4 linked regions of the Astyanax mexicanus genome follow. The protein of the gene in region 2 binds, or shares a complex with, the protein of the main gene of each other region. Links are inferred from orthologs where the notes say so. Each region holds a gene or a part of one and is shown on either strand. Other genes may lie near its edges.

What was found. The genes of interacting proteins can lie anywhere in the genome.
Region 1: snrpd2 (region 2) and usp39 share a complex: the UniProt entries of both Homo sapiens proteins name them as parts of the U4/U6-U5 tri-snRNP complex. The link is inferred for Astyanax mexicanus from reciprocal best matches to the Homo sapiens genes SNRPD2 and USP39.
Region 3: snrpd2 (region 2) and gemin4 share a complex: the UniProt entries of both Homo sapiens proteins name them as parts of the SMN-Sm complex. The link is inferred for Astyanax mexicanus from reciprocal best matches to the Homo sapiens genes SNRPD2 and GEMIN4.
Region 4: snrpd2 (region 2) and serine-threonine kinase receptor-associated protein share a complex: the UniProt entries of both Homo sapiens proteins name them as parts of the SMN-Sm complex. The link is inferred for Astyanax mexicanus from reciprocal best matches to the Homo sapiens genes SNRPD2 and STRAP.

The regions. Positions count from the first base shown.
Region 1 is NC_064429.1:1,325,722-1,332,707, forward strand, and holds the start of usp39 (U4/U6.U5 tri-snRNP-associated protein 2), read left to right. Parts: upstream 1-3,978; 5' UTR 3,979-4,088; coding exon 4,089-4,137; intron 4,138-4,691; coding exon 4,692-4,755; intron 4,756-4,858; coding exon 4,859-4,953; intron 4,954-5,275; coding exon 5,276-5,412; intron 5,413-6,285; coding exon 6,286-6,438; intron 6,439-6,986. Other genes in the region: c22h2orf68 (UPF0561 protein C2orf68 homolog), read right to left, coding at 665-780, 2,748-2,857.
Region 2 is NC_064416.1:9,430,607-9,438,468, forward strand, and holds the start of snrpd2 (small nuclear ribonucleoprotein Sm D2), read right to left. Parts: upstream 3,008-7,862; 5' UTR 2,880-3,007; coding exon 2,878-2,879; intron 1,583-2,877; coding exon 1,403-1,582; intron 143-1,402; coding exon 1-142. Other genes in the region: foxg1c (forkhead box protein G1c), read right to left, coding at 4,909-5,637. UniProt on the Homo sapiens protein: Plays a role in pre-mRNA splicing as a core component of the spliceosomal U1, U2, U4 and U5 small nuclear ribonucleoproteins (snRNPs), the building blocks of the spliceosome.
Region 3 is NC_064425.1:16,115,360-16,122,387, forward strand, and holds the start of gemin4 (gem-associated protein 4), read left to right. Parts: upstream 1-4,020; 5' UTR 4,021-4,225; coding exon 4,226-4,235; intron 4,236-5,278; coding exon 5,279-7,028. Other genes in the region: dhrs13b.2 (tapasin-related protein), read right to left, coding at 1,338-1,383. UniProt on the Homo sapiens protein: The SMN complex catalyzes the assembly of small nuclear ribonucleoproteins (snRNPs), the building blocks of the spliceosome, and thereby plays an important role in the splicing of cellular pre-mRNAs.
Region 4 is NC_064409.1:2,001,718-2,009,519, forward strand, and holds the start of serine-threonine kinase receptor-associated protein, read right to left. Parts: upstream 3,009-7,802; 5' UTR 2,776-3,008; intron 1,532-2,775; 5' UTR 1,514-1,531; coding exon 1,402-1,513; intron 622-1,401; coding exon 486-621; intron 324-485; coding exon 242-323; intron 1-241. Other genes in the region: etnk1 (ethanolamine kinase 1), read left to right, coding at 5,450-5,599. UniProt on the Homo sapiens protein: The SMN complex catalyzes the assembly of small nuclear ribonucleoproteins (snRNPs), the building blocks of the spliceosome, and thereby plays an important role in the splicing of cellular pre-mRNAs.

The sequences.
Region 1 (6,986 bases), on a different chromosome or scaffold from region 2:
AGTCCGTCTCATGCTACCACGAGTGTGAAAGCACCACCAACATTCAAAACTGACCAAAACATCAGCCAGACAGCATAGGTTCTGAGAAGTGGTCTGTGGTCCCCACCTGCAGAACCACTCCTTTATTGAGTATGTCTTGCTAATTGCCAATAATTTCCACCTGTTGTCTATTCCATTTGCACAACAGCAGGTGAAATTGATTGTCAATCAGTGTTGCTTCCTAAGTGGACAGTTTAATTTCACAGAAGTTTGATTTACTTGGAGTTATATTGTGTTTGAGTGTTCCCTTTATTTTTTTGAGCAGTGTATAACAAAAATAAAAATCTGCAGCAAAATGAACGTGCAGAATATTAAGTGCATACTATTATATATCAATATTATATATATTTTTAATATATGCAAACATAAACAAATAAAACAAATAAAAGTAAATACTCTAATTAAGAAGCAGTGTTCACAGTTCTGTTTAATAACCTCTTTTTCTGTTTCAGATAAATCCAGTTTCCAGTTTTATAAGACACACTTAATAATAAATCTGATAATAAATAATTATCAGATACCGGAATTTTCATGACAAACCGCACACGCTCCTAACAATGTATCTGAACCAAAATAAAAAGAGAGAAATGATGCATCAGTAAACGCTTAGGGGTTGAGCTCTTACTCCGGAGGCGGGGGTGGTAGACCTCTCGGTCGGGTCTCCGGGGGCGACGCGGGGCGGTGGTGTGTCTGCGCTTCTGTTGCTCTTTAGCCTGTTTCACCTCCTTATCATAATCATCCCTTTAAAAACACACAAACATTACAACCTGTAAGTGAGGCAGTGTTGAGGTGAGGCAGTGTTAGTGAGTCAGTGTTAGTGAGTCAGTGTTAGTGAGTCAGTGTTACAGTGAGGCAGTCTTAGGGTGAGGCAGTCTTAGGGTGAGGCAGTGTTAGGGTGAGGCAGTGTTAGGGTGAGGCAGTGTTAGGGTGAGGCAGTGTAGGGTGAGGCAGTGTAGGGTGAGGCAGTGTAGGGTGAGGCAGTGTAGGGTGAGGCAATTGTTGGGGTGAGGCAATTGTTGGGGTGAGGCAATTGTTGGGGTGAGGCAATTGTTGGGGTGAGGCAATTGTTGGGGTGAGGCAATTGTTGGGTGAGTCATTGTTAGGGTGAGGCAGTGTTAGTGAGTCATTGTTAGTGTGAGGCAGTGTTGGGGTGAGGCAGTGAAGGGTGAAGCAGTGAAGGGTGAAGCAGTGTTGGGTGAAGCAGTGTTGGGTGAAGCAGTGTTGGGTGAGGCAGTGTTGGGTGAGGCAGTGTTGGGTGAGGCAGTGTAGGGTGAGGCAGTGTAGGGTGAGGCAGTGTAGGGTGAGTCATTGTTAGGGTGAGGCAGTGTTAGGGTGAGGCAGTGTTAGGGTGAGGCAGTGTTAGGGTGAGGCAGTGTTAGGGTGAGGCAGTGTTAGGGTGAGGCATTGTTAGGGTGAGGCATTGTTAGGGTGAGGCAGCGTTGGGTGAGGCAGCGTTGGGTGAGGCAGCGTTGGGTGAGTCATTGTTAGGGTGAGGCAGTGTTGGGTGAGGCAGTGTAGGGTGAGGCAGCGTTGGGTGAGGCAGCGTTGGGTGAGGCAGCGTTGGGTGAGTCATTGTTAGGGTGAGGCAGTGTTGGGGTGAGGCAGTGTAGGGTGAGGCAGTGTAGGGTGAGGCAGTGTAGGGTGAGGCAGTGTTGGGGTGAGGCAGTGTAGGGTGAGGCAGTGTTGGGGTGAGGCAGTGTTTGGGTGAGGCAGTGTAGGGTGAGGCAGTGTAGGGTGAGGCAGTGTTGGGTGAGGCAGTGTTGGGTGAGGCAGTGTTGGGGTGAGGCAGTGTTGGGGTGAGGCAGTGTTGGGGTGAGGCAGTGTTGGGGTGAGGCAGTGTAGGGTGAGGCAGTGTAGGGTGAGGCAGTGTAGGGTGAGGCAGTGTAGGGTGAGTCATTGTTAGGGTGAGGCAGTGTAGGGTGAGGCAGTGTAGGGTGAGGCAGTGTTGGGTGAGGCAGTGTAGGGTGAGGCAGTGTAGGGTGAGGCAGTGTTGGGGTGAGGCAGTGTTGGGGTGAGGCAGTGTTAGTATCAGCAGCTGTTTAAAGCTCTCAGTACAGGATCCTACGGTGGCCGAGAAAGCCCAGCGCAGTGCAAATTGAAAAGCGCTGCAAAAGCACAAAACACATCAATCAAAATTACAACACAGGCGCAGCAAATAGAAAAACGCGCTGCAAATAGAACCACAACACAACGGAAGTGAGTCACAACACAACGGAATTTTCCCGGGAGACCTTAAAAGATGCTGTACCAGCTGTATACAAAGGACAGTAAGTGGCAAACAAGCTTCTGAAAAGTAAGTTATGTTTATTACCTGTGATTACCACGGTTGTGTGCATATTATTAAAAGTTCTGCTTCACAAAACGCCTTGTTTGCCACTTATTGTCCTTTGTACACATAGTGAAGTCCGAGACGTTACTGAAGACGCAGCTTAGCTGGTACAGTATCTTTTAAGGTCCCCCGGGAAAATTCCGTTGTGTTGTGACTCACTTCCGTTGTGTTGTGGTTCTATTTGCAGCGCGTTTTTCTAGTTGCAGCGCGTGTTTCTAGTTGCTGCGCCTGTGTTGTAATTTTGATGGATGTGTTTTGTGCTTTTGCAGCGCTTTTCAAGTTGCACTGCGTTGGGCTTTCTCGGCCACCGTAAGGATCAGTAGCGGCGGCTCGCTGCGCTGCGCTAGCGGACTGTTAGCCTGGCAGCTCCGACTCTTACCTCGCGATCTGATTCCTCCGGATGTGATGCAGGAACCCGTGGCTCATGTCTAAGCGGCCCCCGGGTTTATATTTGAGAGCTTCCCCCTCAGCATCCTGCAGAACCTCCATAATTTAAAGATTAAGCGGAGAACACGCGCGCATTCCCCCCACACACAGACCTCTCACTGCCTGCATCCTCTTCTTCCTGTAGCGCTGAGGCGGACTGAGCTCTGTTCAGCGCTGCTGCCGCCTACTGTTCAACAGCCCCCCCCCCCCCCCCCGCATACTCAGCGCCCTCTAACTATATCTATATATATATATCTATATATATATATATATATATATATATATATATATATATATATATATATATATATATATATATATATATATATGAATTATTCATTATATATAAATTATTAAAACAATGTTATATTAAACAAACACTATAGTATAGTAACCTGAGGGCTAGATTGCGCAGGTGGTGCGCATTAGTCTTAGTCTTTTTCTGCTATAAGGCTGATAACAAAACTCATTTACTAAATAATAACAGTGAAGGAGGCGTCTTACCCTCTGCGTTCATTTTTTATCTCGCCTAATCTGAAAACAATGTGAATGAACCTTCCAGATCTCGAATCATATAAATAGACACTTTAGGACTTGTGGAAAGAATTACCTCAAAAGACTAATTTATCATTTTTAGAACAGTAGAACAGCAACAACATAACAGCAGCACAGTGTGAGCAACAGGTCAAGAGAAACACAAGCGTTTGAACATTACAAAGAATAAGTTAAGGGGTGCATAAAGGATGCAAAAAAGTATGTGGGTGATGGTTTTAACATTTAAAATGAACATTGGAATGCAATCCAATGGTTCAGTTTAAAATGTGAAACTCATATATTATATAGATGTATTACACATCCATAAGTGTTTATTATTATTTTTTTTATTGTTGATGATTATGGCTTACTGCCAATGAAACACCCAAAATCAGTGTTTCATAAAATTTAATATTACATAAAACCAATTGGTACTATATGACAATATTGCTTTTAAGAAAATATTTATAGTATTCACATGGGAGAAAAGTTATGTTATTTTTGAATAAAAGGCTGTGCGGTAAAAGATACGTATTTGTATATATTGGATTTTGCTGCCCACTTTTTAAATAAATCAGTTTTAACTGTATCAGAATCAGGATTATTTTTACAGTGCTGATCGGTGGGTTGTTTCCGGTGGGGTGTGAGAGTAGTTCCGGCGGGGCGCGCGGGGGCTGCTGGGAGTTTGTGTTTAGTTTGAGCAGTCCGTGCTCTGACCCCTCATAGGATTTAAACTCCGCGGGCTTAATTAAACAGCGCTATGGCTGGAGTGAAGCGGGAGCGGGATGCTGAGGATGAGGAGGAGGAAGGTAAAGTAGAGGAACCTCTAAAGGCAGAACCGCTTTACTTTACAAACAGTAGCAGCAGAACACACCGCCTAGCTGAGCTAACCGCTAACCGGCAGGCTAACCAGCAGTGCACGCGCCTCCTGCACACCTTCTGAGCGGCTTTAATCTAATTCAGTTTTTTTATTAAAACCAACATCAGTGAGACTGATATTACAGGATTTTCCTTTTACTGTTAAATCCAGAATTACAGATAATCCACCAACATCTTCATTTAGCTATAAAGCTAGTTCTCTAGCTAACATAGCTAATTAGCTAGCTAACTAGTTGGTCACCAAAGCATGTAAACAAGTGGCTGTTACTTTTCTACTGATCCTAAACTAAAGCATGTAACCTAGGTTAGCTAGCGTTAGTCAACTAACTAACTAGCCTTTCACCAGCATATGTGTGTAAAACATCTGAATATCTGAAGCTTTGCTGGGGACATGGTGGGGGTGGTGGTGGACATTGTGGTGGGGTGGTGGTGTTTGTGGGAGTAATTTTTTTTCATAAGAATTTTATCAATGCCTGATTTTCAGAGGTCCGGGGGAAAGTTCCAGACAGAAGGAGCCGCCACTGTCCATACCTTGACACAATCAACAGGTTGGGATAGAGGATGTATTAATTGGCATAAATTGTGTTAATTTCTATATGAAGTAAAAGGAGGGTACGGTTCTAAGCAATTTCGTTTTTCTTTATTATTTAGGAGCGTTTTGGATTTTGACTTCGAAAAGCTGTGCTCAATCTCTCTCTCTCACATAAATGTTTATGCCTGTCTGATCTGTGGAAAGTATTTCCAAGGTAAGTCATTTTTTTTTTGAGACAATGAAGTTTTTGTTATGGAGCGTAAAATACAGAACGTTTTGTTGTTAATCTTTGTAAATTTAGTGTGAAATGAGTGTTTGGCCCATTTCAGTTTTAATTCTTCATCTTGCCATGTCTGAGGTGGATGGTTTGGCTGCTGGTTTATAGAAAAGCCTACAAGGCACAGTGGTCAAAACAGCAGCATCTAACTCTTTAACGCAAGTGTCAATTAAAGCCACTTGCAGTGGTCCAAAACTCGGATCATTAGATGTAAAATAGTGTGTGTGTGTGTGTGTGTGTGTGTGTGTGTGTGTTATAGGGAGGGGCCTGAAGTCCCATGCATACACCCACAGTGTTCAGTTCACACATCATGTCTTTCTAAATCTGCATACACTGAAGTTCTACTGTCTACCAGACAATTACGAGATCATTGATTCATCGCTGGAGGACATCACAGTGAGTTGAGATTAAGGGTGCTTTCACATCTACCTTGTTTGGTTCTGAACATTGGACTATTCAGTTTGGACAGAAGCAAAATAGCAGATGCTTCAAAGCCTACTCCAACAGACCAGTATTTGCTTTGACAAAAAGAGGTTTGGATCAACTAAACATAAACCTGAATCTGGTTCAGGCAGCAACAGAAGAAGGAAAAAAACACCTGAAATCTGACTCCCCTTCACGTGTGGGTGCGTCATACAGCAGTATGGGCACAAGAGTTTATGCTGGTGATTCCTGTATCTGTAGACTAACCTTTATTTATAGACAGAAATAAAAGGAAGCTGAAGGAAATCTGTGATAATTTTGCTGTGTGACACACCTTCATGTGAAAGAGTCAAATTGATTATTTCTCTTTTTGATATCACACTGACACACTCTAGCAAGCCTTACCACCTAATTACTTCTTTAAAAAAAAAAACCTACATATATTAACCATTAACAATCTGGAAATCCGAGATATACATATATAGTTCGATACATTAATCTGTTGCAAGGTTGCAAAAAAGTAGTAAATTATTTTTCTTTATTTAATTTTTTAAAGCTGTCTTCAAAAGAGGAGTCCCATTAACTAAAATTCTAGTTCATGTGACTCCTCTTTTGAAGACAGCTTTAAAATATTAAATAAAGAAAAATAATTACTGATTTTGTCAATTGTAAGAAATGTAAGCTTAAAGATGGAATTATGCTTAATGACCATGTTAGCGTAGAGGGCGTGTATCGCATACCTGTACTGTGGCTTTTTTGGCATAATTTTCTCAGTAATTGTTATTTTTGTTTAGTTTATTTCTGTATATTTCTATCAGAATATTAATGAAGTGTTTCTGTCTTCAGTATGTTCTGAAGCCAACGTTTACCAAACAGCACATCTCCAGTTTGGACAAGCAGGGCAAACTGTACAGGGCTTACGATGGCACAACTTACCTGCCTGGCATTGTGGGACTCAACAACATCAAGGCTAATGACTACGCCAACGTAGTTCTACAGGTATTACCTTCCAATATTCAGTCTTGTTAGCACATCTGAGATGAAGGGTGCCGATCGTTCATTAACATAAATGTTTATTTATTATAATGAAGGTCAAATGTTCAGGTAGTTTTTACTATCAAACACTACTGTAATGTACTGTAGAAGATACCACATGTCTTGGCCCAGTAATGATCAGTTACTTTGCTAGATGTGATTTGAGTACAGTGTCCTCTGGAAGCATTGACAAATGAAGGACAGGAAGGACTTGTTTGTTTACACTGAAAACATTTAGATTTGAGCCTTTTTTGCTTGCATTGCAGTATATTGATTGTCTGAAATATCTATTGCAATGTTACGAAATACATAAATACATTCTATTTCATCAGAAGAAAATTCATTCAACTTTTGTCATATTACTATTGCACATAGATATGTTTATGCAATAAGTTATGTTTTGCACATAAAATCTGCCTCTGGTAGGCACGCCATGGAACGTTAGGTCAGTGCACATTTTCCTTTGTATCAAACTGACAGACACTCACAGTTTCAGACAGTTTCACTAGACT
Region 2 (7,862 bases):
GACGATGACCGAGTCTCCTCTCAGGAACATCTTGGAGATGTAGCGATCCTTATTGACTGGTTTGGACTTCTTCTTGCCCTTTCCACTTTTGGGCACCTCTGTCCACATCTCCTTCACATTCTCCAGAACCATGTTACAATGCCTGAAAGCAAATAAAACACAGAGAGACTGTAATCCACTAACAATCACAAACACCAGTCTATCTGCCTGGGTTGGTGTATATATTAGGGAAAATTAAACAGTTTTTGGTAAATTCTGTGCAAAATTAATTGGTTTCACAAAAATATGGTAAAAGGTGGTAAAATGAACCAGACACGAAAACTGTCAAGTTTTTTTATAAATAAAAAAAAATAATTAACATGAGTGAGGAATCCATATAAAGATGATATATGTTTAGACTTTCTATTATTTTACCATCATGAATGTTCCATATAAAACTCAGACACGTGCAAGTTCACTAGTACTCCATTTGCATTTAGGTCATGGCAACAACTGGATCACTTTATTGCAACTGCAAAGAACTAATAGCCCTTAAGTTTCTTCTCAATTAATCACAATTTCACACCAACCTCACTCTGCAAAATGTTAAATGGAATTTTATAAATTTAATACAGTTTTCACATATTAAATTATCTATTTTATCCCACAGGAAGAAGCAAACAATAACACTCAGAAATTATCTATGTCAATATTGGATCAGATTAGTTTTTGCCAGCCTCTAATTTAATCTCATATCCACCACAAGTTTTTGTGTTCACTCATCATCATCATCATCATCTTCATCATGGCCTTAAAGCCCCTCAAGAACACTTACCAAAGGTCAAATGGCCTCCAAAATGGTACTCGAATTACATATTCCACATGATGAACACAAAAGCAGTTTAATAGAGATAGGTAGTACTGTTTCGAATATTTTTATTGCTAAATATTTGTACACAGTAAATCTATATAATCTGGTTTGCAGCTCAGAAGGACAACTCAAATGACAGCAAAGTGAGTGCAAATGCTACAACATCCCCATTTATAGGCAGGGTTAAGTGTAATGGTTGGCTGTAACAATTACTGCACTAAACAGTCAGTTCAGTTGTATACTAAGTGCAGCAGAAAAGTGAAAAAAGGCTCCTGTTTCAAATACTGTGCATTTAATTTACACGACAACATAGAAAAGCAAATCACAGCTCCAACAAACTCACTCAGACTTAATTGCAAACCTGTTTAAAATACATTAAGCCACCTGTGTACAAACCATCAGTCAAACAATGCAAACATACAAACCATTACTTACACACTGTAAAAGTGTTAGAAAATACCTTAGCCTGGCTAGCACCTGCTTCACACCAAGAATGAGATTAATATAATAGAAGAGCAAATTCTCCTCTGCACACAGTTCAGAGTATCGTACCTGTCAAACGCCTTCACTCTGCCCAGCAGTTTCTTGTTGTTGCGGCAGTTAATAAGGACCTGTGTGTTGTTTTTGACGGACTGTGTGAGGACGGACAGCGGCCCCGTGTTGAACTCTTCCTCCTCTCGCTTCTGAAGCTCCTCAGGAGTCATCTCAGACTTCGGTTTGTTTAGGAGACTCCTGAGACACAACATGTTATTAGCATTTGTGGAGGAAATTGGACACTGATTGGTTTGAGCACAGTATATTAATCTTAAAAAACAGTGTTTAATTAAATAGTTTTAATTATAGTTTCATTTTCCCCTCACATATTACTATAAATTAATGTTTAATATTAAAATAAGTTAAACTAGGTTCGGATTGGCTCTTTAAACCAGTTAACTAAACATCAAATAGGAAGGATTTCTTTTTAATGTTTGAAACCAAAATACAAAACTATGAAAACCAAGCATTAATTTAGTCACTAGACTATTGACTAATCGGGAAAAATAATCTTTCAATTAATCAAAAACTATATAATAATAAAGGTAAAAAGGTTAATTAAGCAATAAGAAAATAATTGTTTGCTTAACTGATAAAACCAAGTATTAGATTAAAAGTAAATGTATATATAGTAGATCAGTCTATACAATTGCATTAGTTTAATCTGTAAAAAAAAAAACAGTAGATTACTCAATCGTAGGCTAAATGGTAGATTAATCAAAATAAATAATTGTTAGATTATCAGAAAAAAACTTTAGATTAAGCAACAAAAAATATTCAGATCAATCAAAAAAAAAAAAAAAAAAAATATATATATATATATATATATATATATATATATATATATATATATATATAATTTTTTGGTTTATTGTTTTTTTTATTGTTATATATATATATATATATATATATATATATATATATATATATATATATATATAAAAATAAAAGTAATACTTCGGTGCAGCCCTTAAACTGAAGTTGGCTTTTTGTAAGAATTGTCTATTTTAGCTACATTAATGGTGCAGAAGAATTGCTGAGGAGCCTGAATGTACAGATACTTCTGCCCCATTTAAGGTGGAACAGACAATTCTAATAAGCAGCTCACTATTCTTAATTTAACTCAGAACGAAAAAGCACAATACAGGAGTTAAATTGGATAACTAACGTAAGATAACTATCCAGCCAAGATTTACAACAACTAAACAGCAGAAGAGAATTATTAGAGAATTATTTAACATTATTAAATACGCTTATCGACATTTTAGTCTAATTTAAAAGTAGTTTTAAAGCAATAACACAATATTCAGGTCCTCTATGGGCATTAAATTTATTATATTTAAGTAGCTAAGCTAACACCTAACTTACAACTGCTAAATCTCATGCTGCTGCTTTTGTGTTTCTACGGCAGACGTTTAACTCCTGTAACCAGCCAGGCTTTCCCTAAAACACCCAAAATAACAGTAAAATCGTTTAATAATGTAAATACTCACATGTTTAGGGTAGTAAACTCTAATTTACTCTGGTATAAACGGATCTTTCTCTCTCTGTGGGTAATTCAGCTTCAGCGCGCGGGTCACGCTCACAAAACGCAGCGTTATGGCGCCGCTTCCTTCCGGGGACTTTTATTATATTTAATAAAATAATATAAAAAAAGTCCGGAACATGTTTTAGTTTGTCGTCGAATAAACGTTTAAAAGTCAGGAATTAATTTTTACTTTTTACATTTTTTGTGTTATTATTTTACATGTTTAGTTGTATTATATATGTGAGATGTATTATAATATATTATATATATATATATGTGTGTGTGTGTGTTTGTGTGTTTAGTAACAGTATGTGCTGAAAGAATGAGGTCAGCTGACTACCTGAATATACTGAATATAGACCAGATTGAATGAATGAATAAATTAGGGAGAATGAGATCATAATTTGCACATTTGGATAGTTCAGTCCTTAACCTCATTGAGAATCTTTGGGATGTGCTGGAGAAGGCTTTGTGAAGTGGTCAGACGCTCCCATCATCAATGTAAGATCTTGGTGAAAAAATAATGCAACACTGGACTGAAATAAATTGTGACATTGCAGAAGCTTGTTGAAACAATGCCACAATGAACGCAAGCTGCTTGGATGGAGCTGCTCGGTAGAAGAGTTAATCACTTGTTAATCCTACCTCTTATTCCACACATTTTATAGAGTGAAAATCTGCACACATCTGCAGTTTAGAAAAAACAGGAATTTAATCAGACAAATGCACAAAGACATTTATTTCACATACATGACCATCAAACAAATGCAAAATAGTTTTACAGTACATTATTTTGTTTTTGTAAAAAAAACAACAAAAAAAAACAAATAAAAGCAAAACTAAAAATATGTTTTAGTCCAGGTTTTTTTAGTTTGTTTATAAATATATTATACACCAACAAATATATAAACACAACAAAAATACATTACCATTAGATTTGAAGTTATAGTATGTGTGTATAGTTATATATTGGAAAATCCATGCAATTAGTCAAAATATAACTTTTAAGAATGATAAGCATTTACTCACAATATTTCAGGCATGCATTACATAAACCGTTTAGACCAAACGAGATAGCATTTTGTAATATTCAGGCTAACAACAATAACTTTCAAAGTGTACTGTGTTCTTCATAAGTGGTTGTTAATTGATGCTATAGTATCACAGTGTGTTCTATTGGTGTTCTAATGTGGCAAGGGGGTTGCTATGGTATTTTAGACAATACCATATTGCAATGTGGTTGCTAGATGTTTGTTTAGCAGTTCCAAAATGTGTTATAGTATTGATGTTATAGTGGGCTCTAGATGCCACATTGTGACAAAGTGGTTGGTATGGTATTCAAGTCATTTGCCATAATGTTGCATGGTGGTTGCTAGGCAGTTGCTATGTTATCCCAAATGGTTGCTTTGGCATGCAAAGCTACTATACTGCATACTATAGCTGTTTGCTATAGTAGACCAGGTGGTTGATATGGTGTTGATAAGATGGGTGCTACATTGTGACAAGGTGGTTGGCATGGTATGTTAGTCAGTTGTCGTGATGTTGCTTAGTGGTTGCAATTGTATCCCAGGTGGTTGCTAGGATTTGGATAAATGGGCTCTACATGGGGGCTACCTTGTAGCAAGGTGGTTGCTCAGGTTTTGAAGATTTTTTTCAAGATTGTTTTAAGTTATTGCTTAGTGGTTGGTATTATATCCCAGGCTGTTGCATTGGTATTCCTATGTGGTTGCTAGCTGGTTGCTTTGATATCCCAGGTGGTTGCTACAGTATTACAAGGTGGAGTCTAGATAACTACTACATTGTGGCAAGGTGGTTGCTATTGTATTTAAGATAGTTGCCATGATGTTGATCAAACCTTGGACCTTGAAAATGCTACGCAATTAAAAATCCAGCAGAACAGTTATGATAATAATATTAAGAAGAAGAATGTAAATCAGAACACAATATAGTAATAATATGAAATAATGAACAAGATTTATTTACATACAAATTTAATTTAAATACAAATGTGCCAATACGAGCTGGTCATGCTGGGATGATACGTGTATGCAGGGTGAATAAGGGCGGGGTCAGTGTGGAATTGCTGCAGGATTCCCATAGGGTGCGCTGTTCCCTCAGAGGGTATGGCATCTTTCCTGGCACTGGAGCAATCTGCCACCAGGGCAGGTTGGCCGGGCATTACCCCATTAGCACCCATAGCAGGAACCGAGGTTGGCACAAACGATGCAGTGCCCAGTCCGGCAACCTCGGATCTGGTTCCTGCCCATCTGTGACCCTGCTGGTGGGCAGACACTGGCTGCTGCAGTGCCAGGAATGATGCCATGGGCCAATAAAAGGAGCTGGGCAGTCCAAGCCCCGCCTTCCACTTCACTATCTTTGCAGACTTATCCGCCCGATTAGCCGGCTGGCACTGTGTTAGCTTGCCCGGACTTCCACCAATGTACACCTCACTGCACGGGTCGATCATCCAGTAGCTTCCCTTGCCCGGGTCGTCTTGTGGGCGTGGCACCCGGACGAAGCACTTGTTGAGGCTCAGGTTGTGGCGGATGGAGTTCTGCCAGCCCCGCCCCTTCCTGCTGTAGTACGGAAACCGCGACACAATGAAGTCGTAGATGCCGCTGAGTGTAAGCTGGCGGCGGGGGCTGTGGGCGAGCGCCATCACGATCAGGGCGCTGTAGCTGAATGGAGGCTTCTCCAGCAGGGGGCACTCCATTCCATCTGTCATTAAGGATTCCTTTGGGCAGGCCCTGCCTCTTTCAGGAGCCCTGAACATAGACAGGTGGAACACACTTTGTTTGATTGACATGTTTATAACAGCGATATCCAGTAAGAAGTTATAATAACCTTAAAGGAACAATCTGTAGTAAATGAAAGCAAGTGTGTGAAATGGCTGTTTTTGTGCGGTTGTGTTCTGTACCTGGCAATCCGAGATGTGGAAATGTATTACCGTTACATACCACACAGTTCAAATAAGAAAATACTGACTAAAGCTCTGCTGATAAGAGCTGTCGGTACTTTAACTCAGCATGGTTCCTTAATATCTGATGATACATCCTAATCATGTTATGAGTTACTTCAAAAATTTAATCCTTAATGGTCCTTTAATACCAATATTTAATATACAATCCATCTAACCTTAATATTCATAATATGTTTGCAATGACACATTGTAATTGTAATGACATAGTATCTGGCATTAAGTTCTAATAACAATAATATTCAGAATAATGCTATAATAATAAAATGATATCTAGTAAATCCAGTCTAATAGCATAACTATGCAGTATAAAATTATAATTATGTTAACATCCAGAATGAAGTTCTAATAGCATTTATATCCAGAATGAAGTTATAGTAATATTAATATCCAGTATGAAGTTCTAATTATGTTAATATCCAGAATGAAGTTCTAATAGCATTTATATCCAGAATGAAGTTATAGTAATATTAATATCCAGTATGAAGTTCTAATTATGTTAATATCCAGAATGAAGTTCTAATAGCATTTATATCCAGAATGAAGTTATAGTAATATTAATATCCAGTATGAAGTTCTAATTATGTTAATATCCAGAATGAAGTTCTAATAGCATTTATATCCAGAATGAAGTTATAGTAATATTAATATCCAGAATGAAGTTCTAATAGCATTTATATCCAGAATGAAGTTATAGTAATATTAATATCCAGTATGAAGTTCTAATTATGTTAATATCCAGAATGAAGTTCTATTAGCATTAATATCCAGAATGAAGTTGTAATAGCATTAATATCCAGAATTAAGTTGTAATAGCATTAATATCCAGAATTAAGTTATAATAATATTAATATCCAGTATGAAGTTCTAATTATGTTTATATTCAGAATGAAGTTCTAATAGCATTAATATTCAAAATTAAGTTATAATATTAATACCCAGTATTAAGTAGTTATTACATTAATAACCAGAATGATAGCATGCTAATGGCATTCTTATCCAAAACTTTAATAACATTAACATCAAGTATGAAGTTGTAAAAACACTGATGTCCAGTATGAGTGTGTATTACTTTTCTAATTACATTCATATTCAGAATTAAGTTCTAATAAGGTTATGAATGAATATCCAGAATGAGCTCAGCTGAATTCACACTGGATTTTAAACTGTATGAGATCTCTTTCTACACACTTTATCACACACTTGACCATACCTGTCTACCTGTACACAGGTGTGAGTTCACCAAGCAGCAGCCAGGAAAGCTTCCCCTCAGGGATCAATAAAGTAATATATACAGTGACAGCAGGAGGTGTAGAGTTCCTCATCCTGGATATCAGTATCACTGCACTGCTGGGATTTCAGTGAGTTTCTTGGGTTTGTCTGAATGCAATCCAAATTGATTATGAATTGAATTATTCTTATATTTCAGTTAGATTAATCAAACTAATTCAAACACATAATCAAAGGTGGTTGTAGAATGGATAAATGGATAAAGCATGCTAACAAATAAACAACTGAAAGCTCAAAGTAATATTTTCTCATTAAATTTACAAAACAGATGCATTCCAGAGCTGTCATATAAAGCTCTAGATAAAAATAAGAGAACATTTAAACAGTATGAGTTTCTTTGATTTTACCAAATTGAAAACCTCTGAAATATAATCAAAAGAAGATGGATGATCACAAGCCATCAAACCAAACTGAACTGCTTGATTTTTTGCACCTGGAGTGGCATAAAGTTATCCAAAAGCAGTGTGTAAGACTGTTGGAGGAGAGCATGATGCCAAGATGCATGAAAACTGTGATTAAAAATCAGGGTTATTCCACCAAATATTGATTTCTGAACTCTTAAAACTTTATGAATATGAACTTGTTTTCTTTGCATTATTTGAGGTCTGAAAGCTCTGCATCTTTTATTGTTATTTCAGCCATTTCTCATTTTCTGTAAATAAATGCTCTAAATGACAATATTG
Region 3 (7,028 bases), on a different chromosome or scaffold from region 2:
AATGACTTAGACGGGCAATCTCAACACTTGAACATCCGGTCAACTTAAAAAAAAAAAAAAAAAAATTGTATTTTATTTTAAAACATACTTTTTTTTCCCCCATTTTCTCCCCAGGAGGGTGAAGATTAACACATGCTTCCTCCGATACATGTGAAGTCAGCCACCGCTTCTCTTCGAGCTGCTGCTGATGCAGCATTGCCAAGCAGCCAGCGCGATTGGAGGAAAGCGCAGTGACTCGGTTCTGATACATCAGCTCACAGACGCCCTGTGCTGTGGAGATCACCGTAGGAGTGATGTGGGGAGAGAGCGCCATCTACCCAGCCGGAGGGAGCAGGGCCAATTGTGCTCCCTCTGAGCGCCGGCAGCTTGATGGTAAAGCTGCATGAGCTGGGGTTCGAACCTGCGACCTACCGCTCATAGTGGCAGCGCTTTAGACCACTGGACCACTCGGCGCTTAAACATAATTTTAAAATGTCACATGAGTTTGAAACCATCTTCACCTCAGAAACCTTGTAAACAATTAAGTAAAGCTGTCTGAGATTGACCAGCACATGTTTTGAATAGTTAAATATGTGCTATTAGATTCAGAGTTGAAAAAAAGATAAAAAAAAATAAGTTTCATTTGGAAGAGCAAGAGTTACAACAACAAATGGCCCATTAATGAATTCCCTAGTTTTAAGCTGTGGAGCAGTGTTTGAAATGTGTTATCTGGAATGATGGTGCTCCACTCATTACTTTTGGGAAAAAGCTTGGGAGTTGGGTGTGAATGAGATGTGGTGGTGATCATTCATCCAACATCCTGCTTTCGAAACTGAATGCAATAAAATCCTCATAGCAATGTTAGCTAGTTACTTCAACAGAAGCAGAATTCATGATGAACAAGCAGGTGTCCCAACACTTTTGCCAACATAGTATTTCAACATGCATGTCACATATAAACTGATACTGATTCTCAGTGCCACCTCTAAATATAATATCTCTAAATATAAACAAGCATGCAGAAGGTCACCATTAGTGTGTGGGGCTCTAGCCTTATATTTTCAGTTGAGAAAGTCCCCTGCTTCTGGAGAATCAAAACTGAAAGCAAGTTTATCCCAAGTAGTAATTCTAACACTAGATTATATTAAAACATAGACACATACATTAGACATGAAAACAATGTCCTAAAACACATCACACCTACAGTACAGTATATATTTACATGTATATCAAAACGGATAATATTGTTATACACCTTACACTGGAGTCTACTGGAAAAACATGCCTTCAATATGCACCTGTGTGTCTTTATGAGACACGTCATACATTAACCAGACCTCGAGCCATCTTCAGCTTACCTGAAGCTAACACTGCGAGGAAAAGACCACCAAACACAACACTCATGATAAACACGACCACCTGGACACCTCCAGCGCGAACAAACCGCCATGCAAATTAACAAAGTAACTACTGCACTGATCTGCTTTCACTTTCAATTCAGCGCTGCTCCCAGTCCCTCCCACACCTACACCCACCCCTCTGATCTACAGGGGCTTCAGGAAGATCTGACCAACAGACAGACTCACTTATTCACTCAATCATTTATTCATTAATTCATACTAATCTATCATATCAAACTGACAGAGGAATATACATGTGTATGAAATTAATGTGGACAAATGACACACGTACATGTACAGTAGTCTGGCCACGTGAGGGCGCCAGTTATAAACTTCCGACAGATTTCTCTATCATCTCTGCTCTCATTGGTCTGGGAAGCTTATGCTTACCTACCAGAGACAGGGTTGCCAGGTCCAATAAAAATATCCATCCCAAAGTCAGTCTAAAACCCGCCCTTCAGAATCTTAAACTAGCTTTGTCACACGTTTGAAGCAAATGACAAAACAACTATGAGTGCACGACTTAGTATTTTGTTTATACGGGATTTATTATCAGTAGTGCTATTTATCTTGAAGTCATTAACAATATTGTAACATCATTGATGTTTTATCAGTTATTTTATAACAGTTTTATATCCCAGTCAAGAACATTTAATAGTAACATAATTAGCTAAAAAAAAGAAAGAACTGACTTTTCCTTTTTTCTGTTTTTGCCCTTCCTGAAAACTCTTTTTTCCTCTTTAACATTTTTTTAAATCGCCTTGTAATTTCTGGTTACATGGAGATTTTTTTGTTTGTTTTTTGGCGGCCGCGGTAATTTTTAAAAGTAGCCCGAAAAATGTTTTACCCGCGACTGGATTTATAAACAAGCCCAATTTGTCGGGAAAACCACGAACCTGGCAACTCTAACCAGAGAATCTTTAGTAGAGAGGAGAGATTACGCACTTCTGAATGTTGTCTGGGTTTGTTGAACCACCAGGGGGCGTTCCAAAGTAAGTCCAAAATGAATGGGTTCCTATGGAGCCACTTCATAAATACACTCCAAATCCACTCCAGTTTTATTAAACAATCATGGAACCACTTTACACAGGGAACCACCGTGTTCTCAGTGTAAAGATGGTGCAGACAGTGTTAGAGTTACTGGGTGAAATGGTATTGTAAATTGTTTATAAGCATAATTACTGTAAATTAAATCCACTCCAGTTTAACTCTGTATTCTGCTGTAAACAACTGTATGAATAAAATTAAAAAACATATATATATATATATATATATATATATATATATATATATATATATATATAATATAAGGCACACTAGTACTGTACGTGTAAGAAGTAAATGCACTTCAACCTGCATAAAGGGGGAAACATTTTCTGAGGTAAAGTTATAGTAGCAAAGTTTATGTAAAATAATACCGCAGACTAACTGCTGTGCCAGGTAATATAGTTTATTTATATTAGCAATAAATCTTTCAAATATTACACATGCATTTACCCAATTTAACAAGGGTAGGGAGACCAGACAATCCCAATACTTTAAATAGCTTTAAATAAACTGTATGGCAAAATTAACTACAACAGCCGAACTTTTGTAATTACAATTTAGGAGAGAAATACAGTAACTGATACAGTAATTGTATTCTTTTAATTAGCATATATATAATTACACAACAACAAGAGTGTGTCTAACAAACTGACATAAGGAAACATTACCTTATAGGATGCCCAACCTTCATATGTTTTTCTCTTAGGTTTAAATCGCTATTTATAAATCTTTTTGACTCAGTGCTCTGACGGTAATTCAGCATCAGCTCTCTAACCAACCAGTCAGTTCACAGTAATGCTAGAGTGTTAACTGCCTAAACCTGTTTACTGAAGAAAAACTGAACAATATAGATAAGTTTTCTTTACTTTTTTTTAATAATGCATCTTTCTACTTTCTACAATTAAATAAATATCTTGAGCAAGTTCTTAATTTCTATTTTTTACTGTATTTTTTTAGCATTTTAGCTTTATTCACCCCCATTAATTTTTGACTCGCTCGCGGGCTGACTCCAGATTTAACAGTCATTTTTTTAAAGTGTGCATGCTCTCTACACAAACCAGCTTCTGCTCCTGCAAGAGCCGGTTTATGGCGAGCATGCCCACTTCCTTTGTAGAAAATGAATGTGAATCGCTAGAGGGAGCCAGTGAGCGAGTCCAAAATGAATAGGGGTGAATGGAGCTAAATGGTTAAAACTTTAGTAAAAAATAGTAATTAGCTATTTTTAACTAACTAGGATATTCATATAATTTAGGTACAACAAAATATGTTGCTAAAAGGGCAAACTAAAATTATCTATATATGTCTGTTGTTCTACACTAAACAGGTTTTGGGGAGTAAACACGCTAGCGTTGATGCTACACTGTGAGCTGACCGGTTGGTTAGAGAGCTGATGCTGGAGATACAGCCAGAACAATGAGTTTAAAGTGTTATAACTAGAGTTTATAAGCTTGAAAATCATGTCTGCACTGCAGAAACATTTAGTATTGTTCTGTTTTAGGGAAAATTAGTACATTTCACAGAAAAAAAATATTAAACATTAATAAACTCTGATTTTGCTCGAACCGGAAGAGATTCTGTAGTGTGTATTCTCGTTTCTAAAGGTTCTCTGCTCCTACGAACAGCTCTCGGTGGGAAACTTCAGTTCTGTCCTCGTGCTGATAAAATAAAACACTCGCTGTAAATAACCGGTTTAATCCTGTTAAACTGTAGGTTAAAATAACCGATATTATCTTCACGAAAACCACGTGACCAAACGGACTAAAGAATAAACACATGGTTCTGTTCGGCTGAATAACAAAATGGACCAAGGTAAATACACCACTGTTTCTGAATGAGTTTCCCTGATTTTGCTATTTATAGGTATATATTTAAGTAAAATGAACATTGTTGTTTTATTATATAAACTACGGACATTTCTCCCAAATTCCAAACATGAATACTGTCACTTAGAGCAATGGTTTGCAGAAAATAAGAAATGGCTGAAATAACAAAAAAGATGCAGAGCTTTCAGATCTCAAATAATGCAAAGAAAACAAGTTCATAATCATACTTGGTGGAATAACCCTGGTTTTTCGGCATGTTCTCCTCCACTAGTCTTACACACTGCTTTTCGATAATTTTATGCCATTCCTGGTGCAAAAATTCACGCAGTTCAGCTTGGTTTGATGGCTTGTGATCATCCATCTTCCTGTTGATTATATTCCAGAGGTTTTTAATTTGGTAAAATCAAAGAAACGCCTCATATGTTGTTCGTGTGAAATCATTACTATATAATAAGCAATAATTGTCAATGTGAAACATGAATCTCAGAAACAGCAGCTGTACAGGAGAGAGACAAAACCTTTTTGACTTTCAAAGGAAGTAAATTGGATAATTTCTGGTGGTACATTCATCAAGAAATGTTGACACATTTAAGACTAAAATATATTTATGTTTGCAGCATTGAAACTGTATTTACATTTTTTACATTTACATTTACTGTGGGTGAGATTGGCACCATTAGAACCAGCCTGTTATTTTGTGTAATCAATACTTTATTTGTTCTAATTGTAGAAGAATTGGCAGCAACTGGTTGTATTATAGATTTAAAAAACAAATGTTGCCTCTTTGTAAATCTGTAAGTTTTAGTGCACTGAATCATTCATGCTTTAAACCAATAAAACTGATGACTGAAAACATAGAATGTACCTAGGTAATCACATAACGTCCTGTTAGATATTGTAAAAATTGCAAATCTGCTGCCTATTTTGGATTGTGAGATGTGCAGTCATGAATGTATCAGAGTACAATATAGAACAGATTCTAATCTACATTAAATTAAATTGAATTTGTTTTGTGTCTTCTTCCTACAGAATCCTGGCTGAGCTGTGAGAAGACTGCTGTCCTGCAGGGTGGGTTTCTGCTGGCTAATCAGTTGTGCCAGCCAGCACCTCTCTCTGCTTTGAGAAAAGAGGACTGGGAGCGAGTTGGGCGGCCAGTAGTTCAAGCAGTCACCGAGATATGTGGACAGCGGTGTGGAGGCAACCAGGACCAGCTTAACTGGAGAAAAAGGATTCTCTGTATAGTATGGAGCAAGATCTTGGAGATGGAGACAGGAGAGGATATTGATGTCCAGTGGAAGGAAAATCCACTGTTTTCTGTTCAAAGCAGCCTACCTGATATAAACCATGTGGTTATGTTTGAGTTGGTGAAATCAGTGGGTTTCTACAGCATTTATGTTGAATTGCTCCAGTGCTTTCAAGAAGCTGAGCAGTGGAGAGAGCTGGAGAGGTTAGCGAAACATGTCTCAAGTGATTGCAAAGAGGAGGATGTGAAGTTCTTGCTGGAGGTGTGGTGGGAGATGATGAAGGGACGGAGGGAATCGCTGGATAATCTGGACCAAATCTTTAGTGCCCAGTGCATACGATTTGGACAGATCACCTCAGACTGCTCATCTCAGGCTTCAAAGCGATTTAAACCAGACCCAGAAGCTGCTGTACCCAACATGTGCATATTTTCTCTTTTGTTTGAGACACTGAACAGCATAAAAGAGTGTATAACCTCTCCTGGACTGTGTTATTTTGGTCTCTCCAACTGCCTAGACATGCTGTATACTTCCTTCATGTTAGATCATGCAGTGGAACTCCCAGTTGAAGTTAAACTGCAAAACATTGCTCGCCCAGTAAGCCAGCGAAGGAAGAATTCTGTCTTGGAGGGAGCTGAACTTGCTCAGGCCATATTTGAAGCCCAGAGAGATCTTGCGGCCACACTAACTCCAGCTCAGAGCAAGCCGTGCGGAATGACCTTTGCACAAGCCATGGAGACGCTACTTGGAATAATATGCTCATGGGAAGCAAAGGCATTGCTGACAATGTCCAACCAACCAAGTGAACCAAGTGTCCTCGCATTCCGTCTCAAAGACAGTCTGCAAAGAGTCCTGGAGGCTTTAGAGCGGATGAAATCTGAAAATCTAGATGAAAATGGACAGGCCTTGATTAATTTGAAAAAGGCTTTGACTGATTTGCTAGCTTCCTCATCTTTTAGCATGTCTGAAAGCCCCTCAACTGAAATAGCAAGTGTTGCTACAGCCATTCTTGACTGTAATCTGCAGGGTTTCCAGGACCTTCCTAAACTCTATGCCTCCAAACTAAGCCAAGCCATCAGTGAGACAGAGTGGTTGAACTGTCTCGAACGAAACAAAAGTGCATTCCAGCAAAAAGACCTGGTTATGACCCTGGTTTCTACTCTTATAGCCAAAAGCCAGGGTGATACTGACGTAAATCAGTCTAAAAAACTGAAAAACATTATTATGGACATTTTCTCCCAGCTTCTGTTGCCTGACAAGAATGCAGCACTTTCTGAAATCCTTAAATTGTCCAAGAAAGGCTTACATGGATTTCTTCCGAGCTCTGTTACAGCAGGCTACGATGGGGAACTCAACCTAGCCTTCAACAGCATCATTCAGGGTGGAGCTCAGGCGAAAAGCAGCCTGAGCTCGGCAGTCTCAGCCGTAGCTCGTGTTGCCTTCCAGAACCCTGAGGCTGCTTTGGGCCGATGTTGCCACATGGCTGTGGTGAACCTTGGGGCTCATACTTTTCTTGCACAGATTCTCCAACAGCTGCC
Region 4 (7,802 bases), on a different chromosome or scaffold from region 2:
TTAAGTGGTCTCTTATTTTACATCCAGAGCTATACACAGTGATATGTAACTATATATATAAAATCCAAACTAAATGTAAAAACTTAAACTTAAAATGTAAAATAAGCTTCCAAACAATTGACCATGTACACAATGCTGTGCTAAGTACCTGTGTATAGGTGTACTGTGTATGTGTTTCCTAGAAGTAGCAAAATAATGTTCCAATTCCTATTGTATTTCTTTATCTCAATTTGGGCGTTACCTGCGTGAAGTTAACAGATTTAACAATGTGCTTGTGTGCCAGGGTGAGGACCTCGTCTCCAGTGACTGCATCCCACACCTTTCTGTAAGACAAGATGACAAAATACACAACTTAGTTACCAGACACAGATGCCGCTCATGCAATGGCACTTGCAAGGGCATAACCCACTATAATAATATAAATATCTTCCAGTCCCTTCGTGGTCAATTTAGAAAAAAGCATAAATACGCCACAATTCACTTACGCTGAGAAATCGGCAGCAGCAGTAGCCGCCTTAGTGGCTTCTTTATTTAAGGTGGCCCCCCAAACAGCACCTTTGTGACCCAAGAACGTCCCAATCCAGTCCCCTGTGTCCCCCTGGCGCAACATCGGTTTGCCATCTGCAAAGACCAAACAAATAACGAATACTGGGAAAAGGCACAAGGTAAACAGACACAGAGATTACAGAATTCTCTTATCATTACAAGTTAACCCATAAGAGCCCAGACTAGTGGGATCATGACTGTAAATATTTTAAGGTTAAACTCATGATGAAACATAAATGACAACAAATTACTAACTATCATTAAGACGAATTTTAAATGGTTAAATGGTTGGAACAGACCATTAGAACCCAATACTACATTTTAAAAGAAGGAGCTATTTTATCTCCAGAACTTATCTCTAAACTTAGTACACATACATCCTGTAAATAGGAAAATGGTGATGAGATGAACGAATACAGATTCACACTCTGGCTGCCCTGTGCAGAAAGTGAAGGACAGTGTTGTAGTGCTGTAAAGATCTTTACACAACTTTTAAAGGGTATGTGACATATATACATCACCATTGGCTTTTTGGGGTTAAAAGATGTGTAATGTTCCTTACAGCAATCTGTCCTTTACATACTTTACAGGACAGTGTGTTAATGTGTTTTCTTAAAGCATGTTTCTTTAACATCTGATGATGACGCAAGTTTCTACAGAAAATCTAATCCTTAATGGTTGTTCGACAGTCATATTCCCACAGTCAGAAACAAACATTAATGAGCTGCTCACTGAATTATCTGATTCAATTTTTATTTTGGTACTTATGGGTTAAAGGGTCTGTGACACACATACACCACTATTCTTTTCACTTCTTTTGAATTAAAATTGTTCACTTGAACAATCCAAACCTACCTTTACAAGCACTTATTAGGAAATAACCATAAGGAGTGATTCCACTGAAGGCCAGATCCACAACAGGTCTGGTGTGGCCTGAGCAGGTGAGCGGAGTCTGCCTCATAGCCATTCTTTAACACAGATAAACCTGGAGAAATTAAAGAGTAGAACTGGTTAGTCACTAAAATACTAACTAACAAACAGCTAATGTTGCCTGATTCTGGACTGAGCTGGATAAGAGAAAACATTACCAAAGACTTACCAAAAACTTAGTTAAAACGCTAAAAACAATATCATACATATTTATTGAAAAACAGTGCCAAAAACAAACGTAATTTAGATAGATCTAAACAGTGGGCTGGCTAAACTAGCTAGCTAACTATCTAGGTAACACCTGCAGTATACAGTTGCCACAGCAGCTAAGCTAGGTTAATTTACTTAGCTAGCTAGCTAACTAACTAACCTAACACACACAGTGTAACTACTGTAGCCACAGTAGCGGAGCTAGTTAACTAGCTAGGTAACTCACGTAATATACAGTAGACTCATTAGCTAAGCTACTTAGCTAGCTAACTCATATAGCGTTAATAAACAAGAGACAAAGTAACGTAGCTAAGCTTGTTAGGTTTGCTAGTTAACACACACTCAGTATAACTTCATTAGCCACAGAAGCTAAGCTAGTTAACTAGCTAGATATCTAACCAACGTAATATACAGTTGACTGATTAGCTAAGCTAATTAGCTAGCCTAGAAAACCCACGTAATATACAGTAGACTCTTTAGCTAAGCTAGTTAGCTAGCTAACAAATATAGCGTTAATATACATTAGACACACTAACGTAGCTAAGCTAGTTAACTAGCTAACTTTGTTACCCTAGCTAACCCACGAAATATACAGTTGACTCATTAGCTAAGCTAATTAGCTAGCCTAGTTAACCCACACTAACATGCTTAAGCTAGATAGTTAGGTAGCTAACACACTCAGTACAACTCCTAAAGCAACAGTAACTAAGCTATGTAGCTAGTTGACAATTATAGCGTTAATATACAGTTAGCTAGCTATAGCGAACACCCTCAGCACACAGCAAAGACTGTAGGTAAGCTAAGCTAACACATTATATTAAGTATATAGTAGACACAGTAACGTAGATAAGCTAGCTAGTTAGCCTAGTTAACCCACGCAGTATACAGTAGTCACATTCGCTAAGCTAGCTAGCTAACACATATAACGCTAATGTACAGTAACGTTACACAGAATAACGTAGATAAGCTAGCTAGTTAACCTAGCTTACCCACGCAGTATACAGTAGCCACAGTAGTTAGCTACCATTAGCTAAGCTAGCTTAGCGCAGTTCAGCTAGCTCTGCTTACCGGTGTAGTGTATGAACCTACCTCGTACAGGCACAGCAAATGAACGGACACGCACACACACACACACACACACACAAGACCTCTAGCCCGGTAAATATATAAATATAGAGGGTTTGTTTCGAGGAGAACAGCGCTGTGGATGGAACTTTAACTCTTTAAAGAGCGACAGCGAGAAGGTGCGCACCCACTGAAAGTGCTGTGCCACCAGCAGCAGCTACAGCTACAGCCAGAGCCCAAAGCGCCGGAGGCCGCAGAGCTCTCACACACATAACGGCACCGACAGGAAACCGCGCTCCACACACACTCTCACACACACCCACACACACAACCGAGCTGAAACAACACACTCAGCACACAGACCCACTGATAATTAATCAATAAATTCACTCAACACATCGTATACTAATTTAATTGCATGTAAAACATAATATTTGCTTATTGAACAGTGTGAATATGTTACTCAGGCAGCGATTAGTGCTGCCTTTTGGTGCTCCTTCAGTACTGTCCTCCTCAACAGTTCCTATCCACGATTATTTTGGTGTTTGCTCCTATTTTGGAACATAAAATTATTATGAAAGCTCATTCCCGCCACCTAAAATTCACTTTTATATTAAGTAAACTGCTATCTCATTATTTGGAGATACTAAGTCATTATTTTAAAATAGCAAGTGATTATTTTGAGACACAAGTCATTATTCTGTGATAGTGTTTGCTTTTGGAAAATTATGAGATCTCAAAATAATGAGATAGTATCTCAAAATAATGACTTACTATCGATAGTGTCTCAAAATAGTGTCTTACTATCTCAATAATAAGAAAAAAGTTTTGTTTTTTTAGGTGTTGGGAATAGGCTTCCATATATTATAAATAAATAATAATAAAATTAATGTAAATCGTAATCGAAAATAACTCAAGCTTTTGACTCAAGTAAAAATACTGGTTTCAAAATTACTTTAAGTATAAAAGTACACAATTTATAAATTTAAGTTTTAAAAAAATAATTATTAAAGTAACCAGTGTAAATATATATTTTTTCTACAGGCTAATATCAATCTTATATTATATAGATTAGAATTAGTTTTTATCCTTTACTTTTTTCTGACTGAACTTAGTATGATAGAGCTGATGTTGGTGAATATTGCTTCCAGCTAACCCTGTTAACTATCAGTTTGACAGTTTGAGTCTGTGAGCGTGTCTTTCCACTTCTTTAATCTCGACTCTATGGAAGCCCATTTCCGCCACCTGAAGAAAAAAAAACGTCCTCAACTAAGTCATAATTATGAGTTAGAAAAGTCATAATTATGGGATAGTAAGTCATAATTATGAGATAGAAAATAATAATTATGAGATACTAAGTCATAATTATGAGATAGAAAGTCATAATTATGAGATGACTTTTTATCTCATAAATATGACTTACTATCTCATAATTATGACTTTTTTATCTCATAATTATGACTTTCTATCTCATAATTATGACTTAGTATCTCATAATTATGACTTACTATCTCATAATTATGACTTACTATCTCATAATTATGACTTACTATCCCATAATTATGACTTTTCTAACTCATAATTATGACTTAGTTGAGGACGTTTTTTTTTCTTCAGGTTTTGGAAATGGGCTTCCATACGACTCAATGCTAATTTCAGCAGCTATTTTAATCTATTTTAGTCCTTCCTTTACTGGTAACCAAACTGAAAAAAAAGTTTCGCAGCATAACCCATCGTCTCTTGAGTTTCAGTTCATAGTCAGATGTCCTGACAGTTTCCTTTAGAATTCTTTGATATCATTTAGACTTTATTGTTCCATCAATAAAGGAGAGCTGTTCTGGACACGATGCAGCAAAGCAGGGCCAAACCATAAAACTACCAACACCATGTTTCACAGATAAGATAAGTTTTTTTTACGCTGGACAGCGTTTTCCTTTCTCCAAACATCATGCTTTTATTTTGGTCTCAACCACTTACAAAACATTCTTCCATTCTTACTTTTTTTACAGCAGTGGCTTTCAGTGTTAATTTCTCCCAAATTCCAAATAAAAATATTGTCTTGTAGAGCATTCGCAGAAAATGAGAAATGGCTGAAATAACAAAAAAGATGCAGACCTCAAATAATGCAAAGAAAACAAGTTCATATTCATAAAGTTTTAAGAGTCAATATTTGGTGGAATAACTCCGGTTTTTAATTAAAGTTTTCATGAATCTTGGCATGTTTTCCTCCACCAGTCTTACACACTGCTTCAAGCAGTTCCGTTTGGTTTGATGGCTTGTGATCATCCATTTTCCTGATTATATTCCAGAGGTTTTCAATTTGGTAAAATTTTTCCAGAGCTGTATATTTAAATTATACATTTTTCATTTGAAAGCCAGACATTTTTTGGATCATTAAGTTCTTGACACATATTCAGTTGATGAGAGCTGAGAGATCTGGGGTCTTCTTCACTCTCTAACTGAATAAAAACTATATTTATAATCTGAATGAGCTCCTAATCCCAGAACTCTGACGCAGTTCAGTGACTCGTCAGATCCGGCATGCACCGCGCGCTGAGTAACTGCGGGGAGGGAGCAGTAGAGGCGGATCCGCGGCGCATTAAAAACTGACCCGCTTTCAAACCCGCACACCCTTCAGCTCCACACCCGCGCGCTCACCTCCGCAGCTCCGCCGCCTGTCCGCCAGCGACCCCCCGCCATGGAGACCAACTACATCCACGTACCGGAGGGCGCTCCCGCCGTGCCCAAACTCAACGTGAGCGTAGACGATCACGACTACAGACCGGGAGCGCTGCGGCTGATCGAGGAGCTCCGACCCCACTGGAAACCAGCGGAGGTCAAAATGAAGGTAACCGAGCGGAGTTTACGGGTTTAGATCTGTTCTGCGCGCGCCTCCCGTTCTTCTGGAGCCGCTCGCGGGGGCTGTACGGAATATAGGCAGGTTATATAAAGCAGGGGGCGCGTGCGGCCGGTCGTGCATCGCCTTACAAGTCTGCGATTGTAGCTGCGTCACCGACTAGTAAATCCCGTACCCGATACAAAGTAACAAACCCCGGGCCGTGCACGATACAAAGTAACAAACTAAGTAACAATGTAACAACCCATCTGCCTATAGATACATATAGCTACACACCCTTCAGGTCATTCTGCAGTTTCGAACCCCTTTTTAAACGTGTAACAAACGGTGTAATACTGAGAATTTTAGCTTCCTATAAACCGGTAGATTCTAAAATAAACATGCTATAACCCGCCTTCACTCTATCTTTAGATTTTAATCATATTTTCTTCAGAATTTGACAGATAGACCACACAGAGTAGCTATTAAAAGTATATACAGTCGTGTCTTATTATTCATTCAATGATAACATACACTCCAGAAGCTCTGTGTCATAAAAAATAATTTAGGTTCTGTTCAGGTAAAAGTGCGTCATTATTAAGGAATAAACCACTATCAGCACCACTGGGTCAAAAACGGGACATAACATTTTAGTGTCCCCACTTGATAGATGTTATGCCCTGTCATAATAACAGGTTTTTGACCTACAGTTCAAGTTGCAGTTTCACACCCCCTTTTTTAAACGTGTAACAACAGTGTAGCACTGGGGATTTTATCTACCTGCAGATGCGTAGATCCTAAAAAAAATGTTAATAACCAGCCTTCAAGGTATCTTTAACTTTTAATCATATTTTCTTCAGATTCTGTCAGATAAATCACACAAAGTAGCTATTAAAAGTATATACAGTCATGTATATATTATTATTCATTCAATGATAACACACACTCCAGAAGCTCTGTGTCATAAAAAAGGAATTTAGGTTCTGTTCAGGTAAAAGTGCGTCATTATTAAGGAATAAACCAGTTTAAGAAGCCTCTAAAAGATACCACACAAATGTTTTACACATAAGAGACATTATTAGCTAGACTTGTAGTACATACACTCAGAAACTGCATTCATTGTAAAGAGTTTTACCCCCAAAATATCACTATCACTATCAGCAACACTGGGTCAAAAACGGGGCAGCACTGAATAAATGTTATGCCCTGTCATGATATCAGGTTTTTGACCTGTATACAGGTCATGCTGCAGTTTCAACCCCCCTTTTTAAATGTGTAACAACAGTGTAACACTGGAGATTTTATCTGCAGACACATAGATTCTAAAATAAACATGCTATAACCTTCCTTCAACGTATCTTTAGATTTCCATCATATTTGCTTCAGATTTTGTCAGATAAACCACACAGAGTAGCTATTAAACGTATATACAGTTGAGTACGAGTTCCTTCTAGAAGTTTCTTCTTATTCATTCAATGATTACATTCATTCCAGAAGCTCTGTTCCCTATAAAATAAATAAATTAGAACATAAAGAAAGTCATTTAGGTTTTATTCAGGTTCTGTTTAGGTGAAAGAGCTACTTTATTATAGAATAAAGCATTTAACAAGCCTCTAAAGGATACCACACAAATGTTTTACACATAAGAGACATTATTAGCTACGTCTGTAATACATGCAGGGTTTTATGATGCAAAAATATATTATTTTCCCCCCAAAAAAATCACTATCACAATTGTCACCAGTGGGTCAAAGACAGGACGTAACTTTTTAGTGTCTCCACTTGATAAATGTTATGGCCTACAGGTCATCCTGCAGTTTTACACCCGCTTTTAAACATGTAATAAACAGTGTAACACTGGGGATTTTACATGTTATAATCTGCTTTCAGTATCTTTAACTTTTAATCATATTTGCTTCAGATTTTGTCATATAAATCACACAGAGGAGCTATTAAAAGTATATACAGTTGAGTACAAGTTCCTTCTAGAAGTGTCTAATTATTCATTCAGTGATGACATACATTCCAGAAGCTCTGTGTCATAAAAAATACATTCAGTTTCCATTCAAGTTAAGACTCTTCCTGATGCCTGACTTATTATTAAGAAGAAATGTATTATAATATATTATAAAAATATATTAATACATACATTCAGTATATTCCATTTGAACAGATTTACTGTAACTGTTACAGAAGATGTATGATTAAAAAAAAA